Nothobranchius furzeri: one gene and its partner. The protein of the gene in region 2 purifies or fractionates together with the protein of the main gene of each other region. This does not show direct contact. Links are inferred from orthologs where the notes say so. Each region holds a gene or a part of one and is shown on either strand. Other genes may lie near its edges.

The links. Proteins that work in one complex are often made in the same cells at the same time.
Region 1: the proteins of cdk13 (region 2) and cdc37 purify together in Homo sapiens (affinity purification with mass spectrometry; 3 studies listed by BioGRID and IntAct, with this or other methods). This does not show direct contact. The link is inferred for Nothobranchius furzeri from reciprocal best matches to the Homo sapiens genes CDK13 and CDC37.

What each region holds. Positions count from the first base shown.
Region 1 is NC_091745.1:3,433,193-3,437,919, reverse strand, and holds the end of cdc37 (hsp90 co-chaperone Cdc37), read right to left. Parts: coding exon 4,688-4,727; intron 4,451-4,687; coding exon 4,175-4,450; intron 3,763-4,174; coding exon 3,657-3,762; intron 3,568-3,656; coding exon 3,452-3,567; intron 3,356-3,451; coding exon 3,233-3,355; intron 3,069-3,232; coding exon 2,886-3,068; intron 2,134-2,885; coding exon 2,062-2,133; intron 1,969-2,061; coding exon 1,828-1,968; 3' UTR 1,016-1,827; downstream 1-1,015. UniProt on the Homo sapiens protein: Co-chaperone that binds to numerous kinases and promotes their interaction with the Hsp90 complex, resulting in stabilization and promotion of their activity. Inhibits HSP90AA1 ATPase activity.
Region 2 is NC_091747.1:43,581,270-43,585,929, forward strand, and holds the start of cdk13 (cyclin-dependent kinase 13), read right to left. Parts: upstream 3,205-4,660; 5' UTR 2,990-3,204; coding exon 1,845-2,989; intron 1,193-1,844; coding exon 632-1,192; intron 559-631; coding exon 406-558; intron 333-405; coding exon 193-332; intron 81-192; coding exon 1-80. UniProt on the Homo sapiens protein: Cyclin-dependent kinase which displays CTD kinase activity and is required for RNA splicing.

The DNA of each region.
Region 1 (4,727 bases), on a different chromosome or scaffold from region 2:
GGCCTTTGCAGGTGTTTTGAGTAAATCAGCTGATTAGAGTGGCAGCAGGTGTCTTCTATATTCAGCCTTTTCAGAATATTCTAATTTTTTGAGATACCAAATTTGGAGTTTTCATTAGTTGTCACTTATGAATATCAAATTTAAATGTAATGAACATTGGAAATACATTGGTCTGTGTGCATTGCATGAATATAATGTACAAGTTTCACGTTTTGAATGGAATTACTGAAATATTTTCAACCTTTTGATGATATTCTAATTTACTGGCCAGCACCTGTAAACTTTGTGTGTGATCCAATGTCTCTACAGGTACTTTCTGGGGTGGGGGTGGGGTGAGGGAGGGCGCTAAGCACATTGTGCCCAGGGGCCCCTGCAATGATGATCCAGCCCTGCTTCCATCGCTGCGATCATGCAATAGTCGTGTAGCTGGGCAAGAGGAGACATTGGAACATAAGGCAGTATGCTGACATTTCAGATGACGTCATTAATTTTGGAGGGGGAAAAAAACAAGCATCTTTGTTAAATGTTTATTTGCAGGGCTCTAAAGTGTGTGTGGCCCAGGGCAGTCACCTGTCTTTGATCAGTAATGTTGCCACATCACTTGCTTATAACAAAAATGGTCATTCCACTGTGGTAATTCAAATTCAGCAACAACTGAATACTGAAGTATTTGGGTGGCAGGACAAGTGGCTGATGTCACTGCTCTGAATGGAAGTTTGAATGGTGTGCATGTGCTCCAGGTAGCAAGTGACTCAAATATCAACGAAAGCCAAACAAGTGAAGACGTGTGTTATCTGTTCATCGTAGATGTCACAATTTTTATGTCTTTTCTTTTACTGCGTGTTTAAAGAACTGGCCACCTGTGAGGCCCCACACCACAGAAATATCGCTTCAGTTATTATTTCGTCAAATTCTAAGGAAATGTTATTTAGAAGGTTGGATGTACATGTGGGTGGTGTTCTTTGAACATGTGAAAAACAAACCCTGCCTCAAGTCAAAGAAAACAACAACTGCCTTATCTACAATGAGCAGTTTTTATTCAATCATTTACAATAAAGTCAAACGTAAAGGCTGTGTGTCCTAACCATTACACACGACTGTCAGCTTCTACATGCAAATGTGAACTCCAACCATCACAACAGAGCACAGTGCTGGGCTGTTTTCAGCTTTCTATTTATTCTGGAAACGACTAAACACTGAGAATATTACATTTCAGTTTAGGCCATATTAAGTAGAATTTTAAAAAGACTGTTGGGCCCTGAGGGCTCTCTGTGAATAATACCGAGCATCATGTGGGGCGCTAAAGGTCTAAACCACCACCTACTCATCAGATTAGTCACAGAGTCTGCATGAATCATTTTCACTCACCAGTAAAAGTACTTATTAATGTGTTTAGATCTTGGTGGTGATGTGGTCTAATTATCAGAAAAGTGTGTGCCCCAAACATTGACTGTAAAAATGTGACATAAGAGAAAGAAAAAGAAAATAAACATTTAGCAATCTCTAGAACTCAACAAAAATTTAGAATTTTCAAAAATAAACAAACAAAAAAAGATGAGAAGCCAGATCTGAGAAGACAAAAAGCAGTCAGATAGATGTGTGTTCGTACACACCTACACAAACTCACACAAATACATGATGTTCAGAGATGTTCAAAACACACAAGCAGCAGATTCAGGGGCCACTGAGGCAACTGAAAACCTGCTGTCAACATCATTCCCTTCGATCTTACTAAACAGTGTAGGAAAGTTATTTCACCCATTAGCTAACTAATCATACATAAAAAGCTGTTAACCATACAGTGGGTAAGCCAGAAGGGTTTCCTTGTCACTCTGTCTTATCTTCTCCCTGCTCCTGTTTCACCTCTTCATAAGTGGCTTCTTCCTCTTTCTCAACCCCAGCAGCTTCTTTAGCATTTGGGACCCAGAGTCCTGAGTCAATGCATCTCTTCATGTGAAGCTTTGCCTCCTAAATTGTGAGAAAGAATCACAATAAATTGCAATTTCAGTCAAATAATGTCAATATATAACAAACCTAATCAACAACATAAGAATAACCTACCGTCGGGTCCATTTTGCTAATAACATCCTGTAGCATCTGGATGTCCTTCTCATCAAAACATTTCTGCATCTCCTACAATTAAACACACTTTATTACAACACAGGTAAAACAGTGACATCAGAAATATGTCATTTGTCACTCAGTCAGCCACTCTCCCCCACCTCCAAATGTCACACCACTCAACACCACCACCCTTCCTCAGGACCAATTCAAGTTTATTTACAAAGCGCCAAATCATGACAAGAATTGTCTCAAGGCATTTCACATTGTAAACATTCCAATACAGGTCAGTTCATTAAACCAATCAGTAAAAAGTTTCCTATATAAGGAACCCTGCAAATTGCATCAAGTCACTGACTAGTGTCAGAGTCTTTACAGCATGTTCACCCCCTCTGCAGTAAGAGCGTGTAGCTCCTCAGTTTAACTGATACTGGCATGATCCTGGTACACAATAACACCAATGCAATATTCAGTGTGTGTTCAATACTTGTGCAATACCTGATTCACATTAGCATGTGTGTGTCCCCTATGCTGCAACGTTCTGGAAACCCAAGTTTCTTTTCATTTGTTGTTTTTAGTGGTTGAAGGTTAGCTTACTGCCTCTGTGTGTTTACCTGTAATCTTATTACTTTTCTACTTCCTGTTCTCTAAGTGGATGTGTTGCTGTAGTACGTTCATTTCCCCACTGTGGAATTAATAAACTCTATTCTATCTGAATGTCCTTCCCATCAAATCATTTCTGCATCTCATATAATTAAAAACACTCTGTATTACAACGCAGGTAAAACAGCGACATCAGAAATATGGTTAACACATTCACTTACAGGTGGAAGGGACTCGTACACCTCCGCGGGGTCTAGTCCCCCAGGACCCATGCGTTTCTGTCGTTCTTCTTCTTCATACTCTTTAATGGCCTTTTCGATGCGGATCTTGGCTCTTCCACGGACTCGCTCCTTGAATGACTCCAGCTCATCGTTGAAAGCATCCTGGTACTGCTGGTCTGCTGTCTGGGTGAATAAACATACAAGAAAAGTAACATGAAAGCACTTCCAACATGGAGTGTTTTCAGAAACTTCATCAAAACAAACAAGAATAGATATAATTTTACTTTTTAAAAAAGTATCCCCTTAAAAACGTATGTAATACAAAAGTCCAAACACGTAATAATTACCTTGATCTTTGCAAAAAACTGGCGAAAGCAACCACGGGGGTCCAGTTTGAGGCTTTTGGCCAACTCAAGAATGAACTGCATAACGATGGTCTGATGAGCCACCTGTTCCATCAGAGCATGTTTCTGCAAAACGAAGAGGCACAGAGGCTCATGTTCTAATCAGACAGTGACCATGTAAGACATACAATAGTAGCACGAGATTTCTTTTAAGCTGTTTACCTCCTCAACTTCAAGGTCAATACACATGATGACAAGGTAGTTGGCAGTTTCTTCACATACAAGATGAGGATTGTCAGAGAGGTACTTCTGGCTGTCATCCCAGCGTCGCAGCATGCCTGAGGTTACCACAGCGACAAATCAGCATCTCTATTTTTACTGTCCTACTGATTTGCTCATTTTAATCATGGTTGTCAGGCGGGCTTACCAAAATGTTTGAGCTGCTTTTCGTTCTTCTCCACAAAAGTTTTATGTTTTTGCTCCTTCTCCTCTTCTGTCTCTTCAGAAGGGTCTGGTTTGACGTTAACAATGCTCTAATGAAGACAAACAAAACACCGTTAATAGATGACGACTGCATTCAAATGCATTTTATTGCATCGTTCTGTAAGTTAACGGCATGTTAGAATGTTGTATATAAGCTCTAAATATTCAAAAATAACACACTTCATATAAACCTTGATTATGTTTATTTACAATTAAAGGATGATTTTAGTTTGTATTTTCAGGAGATTGTATACAAGCTACTCCCAACAAAAAAATGACCAACATTCATGCTGAGCATCAAACTAGACTGATTTTAAACATGAAATTGGGGGAAAAAAATATTGCCATCAAACCGCTGAGACAACTATTGATTATAAATTGACAGGTCTGCCAACATTGATACCAGTGGATGCAAACCAATACTTTCTATTTCGCAGTAAGCTGTTGCCTGATCCTAGTCACCTTGCTGAAACCATCTCTGCTGAGTGTGTCCACGTTCCACGGCATCTTCTTCTCCTCTCTGTTGTATTCATCCAACTTCCTCTCCCAATCTCTCTCCTCCTTTTTCAATTTCTTCTCCTCAGCCTGGACTTTGCTCAGCTCTGCTTTGGCCTCACCCGACACATTTAGCTCTTGCAGTTTCTTTTGCGTCTCAGTCAGCTTGCGCCGACATTCTTTCAGGCTCTTGTTGATGTCTTCTCCTTTTTTCTGGAACTCTTCCATTCGATCCACACGTGCCTGAAATGGGATGATGCCAATCACAACTGGAGGTACAAAACTTTTACAATACACTTTGTTACAAGTTTTGTAGGCTTAGTAATTCACTACAGCTACATAAACAGGTTTGCTAGGAATTAGCATAGGGAGAATGTTGTTTGCAACACCAAACTGAGTCTAGGACGCCAGCTAACCAAAGTACCAGTCCGAAGTTAAAAGAAAATCAAAACTCAGTCACGTTATAAATCAAAAAGGTACCTGGTGTCTCCATCTGAAGAGGCTGGGTGTGTCAATGTTT
Region 2 (4,660 bases):
CTTTATCTCTCTGATGGCTGTGATCGGGAAGCCCTCTTTCTCGTTGTCCAGTCGAACTTTCTTCAAAGCCACCATTTCACCTAATTAATAAATAGAAGAGGGTCGAGTGTTAGCTGGCCTTTAAAACAGCCGAGTCAGTGACTTGCATAAACATGTCGCCGTGGAAAACAGCAGAGATGACGAGTGACGTACCCGTGTCTTTGTCTTTAGCTTTGTACACCTGACCGTAGGTGCCTTCCCCCGTGATTCCAATGATCTCAAACTTGTCCACACACCGCTTCCCCCAGTAGATCTCAGTTTCTTTGATCTCACCAAATCTTGGGCCACAGATTCTAGAAATGAAAAGCAAACATTTTAATGAGGCCAAGAGAAGAAAAGGGGCTGTAGAGAATTATTAAAACCTACTTGGGTCTTCGACGAGGCGTCTGGGACTTTTTGTCTTCAGGAGGACTGTGAGGGGACGACGTGCCGCTAGGAAGCTCGGGGGGCAGCGGCAGGTCCGCCAGGAGCTGACGAGCCTTCCTCTCTATCTTCTTTTTTCCTGAGATGTCCTTTAAGCTGTTTGAGGGCGCATGAGAACGATGACTGATAAAGAACCACAAAAACACACGTGTGATCGGGATATTCATACCTGTCTCCCTTCTCCGAGTGTTCAGCAGCTGCTGGGGGCAACGGCAGCGACAGCAGAGTAGAAATAACCGGAGCGGTGGTTCGATCCTTGTCCTTGCTCTGCACAGATGCTGCTGCTTTCCTCTTGTCCCTGTGTACGGAGTCATCCCTCCCTTTCCCATCTCTGTCCCTACTGTTCTGGTGCTCCGTGGTCCTCTTGGACACCTTGTTAGCAGGGGACTGAGGCTGGCACAAGGGGGGAGTTCTGGGGCCCTTCTCTTGTTGAGGTGGTGAGGGGGGACGTCCCTTCCTGGATGTGTGGTTTAGTTTAGGGCTGGGCTGAGGAACCGATGAGGAACCCTCGGTTGGAGTCAACGTGTTGCTCGCATTCTTGGCTTTGGCCGCTGCCTCGGCAGCTTTAACCTTCTTCTGCTTGCTGAGCTCAGCGGCGAGGCTGGATTTGAACGTGAGCGTGCTCGGCGAAAGACTGGAGGGGCGGCTGCGGGAACGGGAGTGGCGATGGCGGCTGTGAGAGCGTGAAGGCCTTGAGGTTGTATATGGACTTCTGCTACGTGACCTTCGCCTGGACAGGAAGCAACACAAACTCAGTTATGATAAAAACACACGAAGAGGCGCTTGGGTTCGTCCGCTAACTTTAGGGCCCGTGACGGACTAGGAGGGATATAATAGACTCACAGAGCTGATAAGACTATTCTGATTAATCTTTTCCTTTCAAACTGATCACAAAAAAATGTAATGTGTGGTTTTTTTTTGCTGAACAAAATTATTGTGCAATCCAATTTTGCAAAAAAATATTTTTTAAAAATCTGTATTTAGGCTTCCACTCAGAAGTAATGCTGACTGGGGGGAATTTTAAAAATAAACAAGCCACTGCAGCAGTGTGATGTTTGTCACTCAGCTGCTGCTGCTCTGTTCTAACACCACGGGCCTTGTACAAAAGCAAAAATGTAATAATTACAAAAACAAAAAGGCAAATAACCCAACATTATCACGTAACACAAGAACAAATATTAAAGAATAAATAGCTCCAGCAGCAGGCTGGAGGTAGATGGGTGTCAAACCCCACAAGTTTTTTTAGAAGCCGATTAGTTTTTGTCTTTTATTTAACTAGGCAGCTGGTGAGTGAAGTGTTGGAACTGAGTAAAACGGCACCAAACCCAGACAGATGTTCAGCGCGTCCCGAGTTATCTCAACAGAAACCCGTCTGATCTTACCTGACATCGGGACTTGGGCTCAGCGACTTCCGATAAGGACTGCGAGATCTCCTGCGGCTTTTATAAGGACTTGAGACGAACTCTCCTTGTTCATACGGACTGTGTCGACCATAACTTGGTGACCTTCGCCAGTTGGCTGGGCTTGTTGGGGACCTCTTCCTCTTGTTGCTGGAGTACGAGCTGGGTGACTTGGAAGCACCATACGCTCCATACACATCTATGTCCCGGCTGTAGTACGTGGAACTGGGAGAAGCTCTTTTACTCCCATAAGTTGGACTTCTTCTAGATATCTGGTTATACCCACCAGGAGACTGGTAGCTGCATGAATAGGATGTCCCATAGGGACTTTCAGTTTTAGGAGCAGGACTTCTCCTGTAGGACCTCGGATCCTCTCGTTCTTCTCTGTAAGACTGTAAAGCATCTCTGTAGGCAGATGGGGGCTCTTTGTCAGATCTTGTTTTACTTTTGTGTCTTTTTGAGTCCTTTTTATCTCCAGATTGGGAGGCCTGGGCTGCAGAAGTCCTCTTACTGTTTTTGTCACTGCTCTTTCCAGTGTCTCTGTGGTTTTTAGAGGTGCTCAGGTTACCCCCGCTCCTGACTTTGGAAGGCTCTTTCTCACGACTTTGACGCTCCTTTTTCTTCCCTACCACCTTTTCTTGTTTCCTCTTAGCACATGGTACTCTTGTTATGGCGTCTTTACGGAGGCAAACTGCCTCTCGGCCTCCCAGGCGACCTCTGTCAGGGGATGATGGTCCATTATACTCCCCAAAGTCAGCATCGCTAAGCTGATCCACTGACAGGCTGTCCGCATGAGGGTAGGATTTAGGAGAGGGGCTTCCAGAGAAACGCTCCGACTGGGAGCTCACGTCGTCATACTCTACTAGTGTCCGAAGTTCAAGCTCCTTTTCAAAAGCGTTACTTCGATCATTCTCGATGTCTCCTGTTGTGCCAGCTGGCCACAAGTTTCTATTCCTGGCTTGCCTGCGTTTCTTCCTCCGAGACGCCGACAAGCGCCTCTTTTCCCGGTGCCTGTCTCGCTGAGCGGCACCGCTCCCCGGTTTACTCCGTCTGTCCTGCCTGTTAGCATTCCGCTGCCCAGAGGGGCTTCGTCTCCGACCCTCTCGAAGCACCTCCGAGTTAGGCATTTATTCTTGAAATAGAAAATCAATGACGAAGTTCTGACTAGTTGTACGTTGAGAATTACGTAAACTATGTCCCTTGTTGTGTCGTTGAACAGAACATTGGGCTAGGTGGCTAAGTTAGCCAACTTCTCAGCACAATCAGTTCGTTAGCAAGATATTAGCTATACATTTCCATGACAAAGCGAGCACAAATGAGCTCCCACACAAAGTAGTGACACTTGGCGACAAAAGACTCCACCACACTCCGTTACAAATGAGGTGCTATGTTATAGAGGCAGTCCATACTAAACCATTGCATTCCAGGACGGATTTGTTAGCCACAGCTAATCAGTGAAGCTAGCTAACGGTTACGGAGTCTGATTCCATTTCATGAGGCCCGGATCAGCACCGAATCTTTTAAAACACCATTCTACCCAAATATAACAGCTCACGAGAGGCTTTTAATCCATTTATCAGGCAGTATTAAAATGTCCAAAAACGAACAAAAGCTCTTGTCCACGTAAACTTCTCGCCATCCATTAAAATCCAATGTGCAACAAGGAAGTGAATAGCACGCAACTTTGCCGCTAGCTACCCGCTAGCAACTTAGCCAGCTAGCTTTCCTTTCTCCTTGCGTAGAGTTCCAGGCAAGTCAGTCACGAAAAACTTCCCATTCAAAGACGCCTCTCTGGTCTTGCATCCCGCCGGACTTCCGTTCCGTGTGTTGACAACATTCCCCTTAACGTAGCTGTCGTCTTGCCGCAAACTGACTACAAGATATCTTGGATTTATTTCAAAATAGTATAACTTTGTTCGTAATGTTGCTAACAGTACAGCTTTCAAGGCCCGTGCAGCTTTCAAACTACAGGCCTCGTGCGTCGACGTAAACCAATAGGAGCAGCCTGCGTCATTCCGATCAGAGGATACGTCATGACGAAGGGAAACCCTCACCTTCAAAATAGAACACAAAGAACCCTTTTTTCTTAAAGCTTTAGGTATTTGGTCACTCTACAACAGGGCCGTCAAACTCGAATTCGAACTCGGCCGAAACGAAAAACTGGGACGAAGTTGCGGGCCAAACTCAACAATTATTAAAAAATGACGGCAAATGTGCCCATCTATATGTATTATTGAACCTTTTCATTTTGCATAAACACAGAATCTGCAATAACAATAACCAAGTTATACACGAGCAAGTAATTTTGAAATAAGAAACACATCAGTGATATTTGTTACTTATGTCTAATTTTTTAAAATCTTTTTATTCCTTAAAATGTGTTTATACTGTATCTTTGCATTTTTAATCCTTGAGTGTTTTACATAAAATACTTCTGTTTGTTTGTTGTCATTCACTCTTTATTCTTACTTTTTACGCTCCGTTTTTGCTCTTTTAATGAATGTTGTTGCTGCTGTGACAACAAGGATAATAAAGAGACTTTACCGTTTTGTACTTATTTTTTTAATTATGATCGGTCACATGCAGGCTGAACATGAACATCTATACCCTTATTTCCAGCATTAGCCGCTGATAGAACATTGCTGGGTAAACGCTTGGATTAGAAAAGTCAGTTAATTCTGCCTCACGTTGAAAATTTGCATTCATGGACTCCTATCCATCAGCATTAGCATCTCCATCACATCACAACTCTTTCAGGCTTGAGTTATTTGTGGCGATAAAACATTAACATTGCAGAG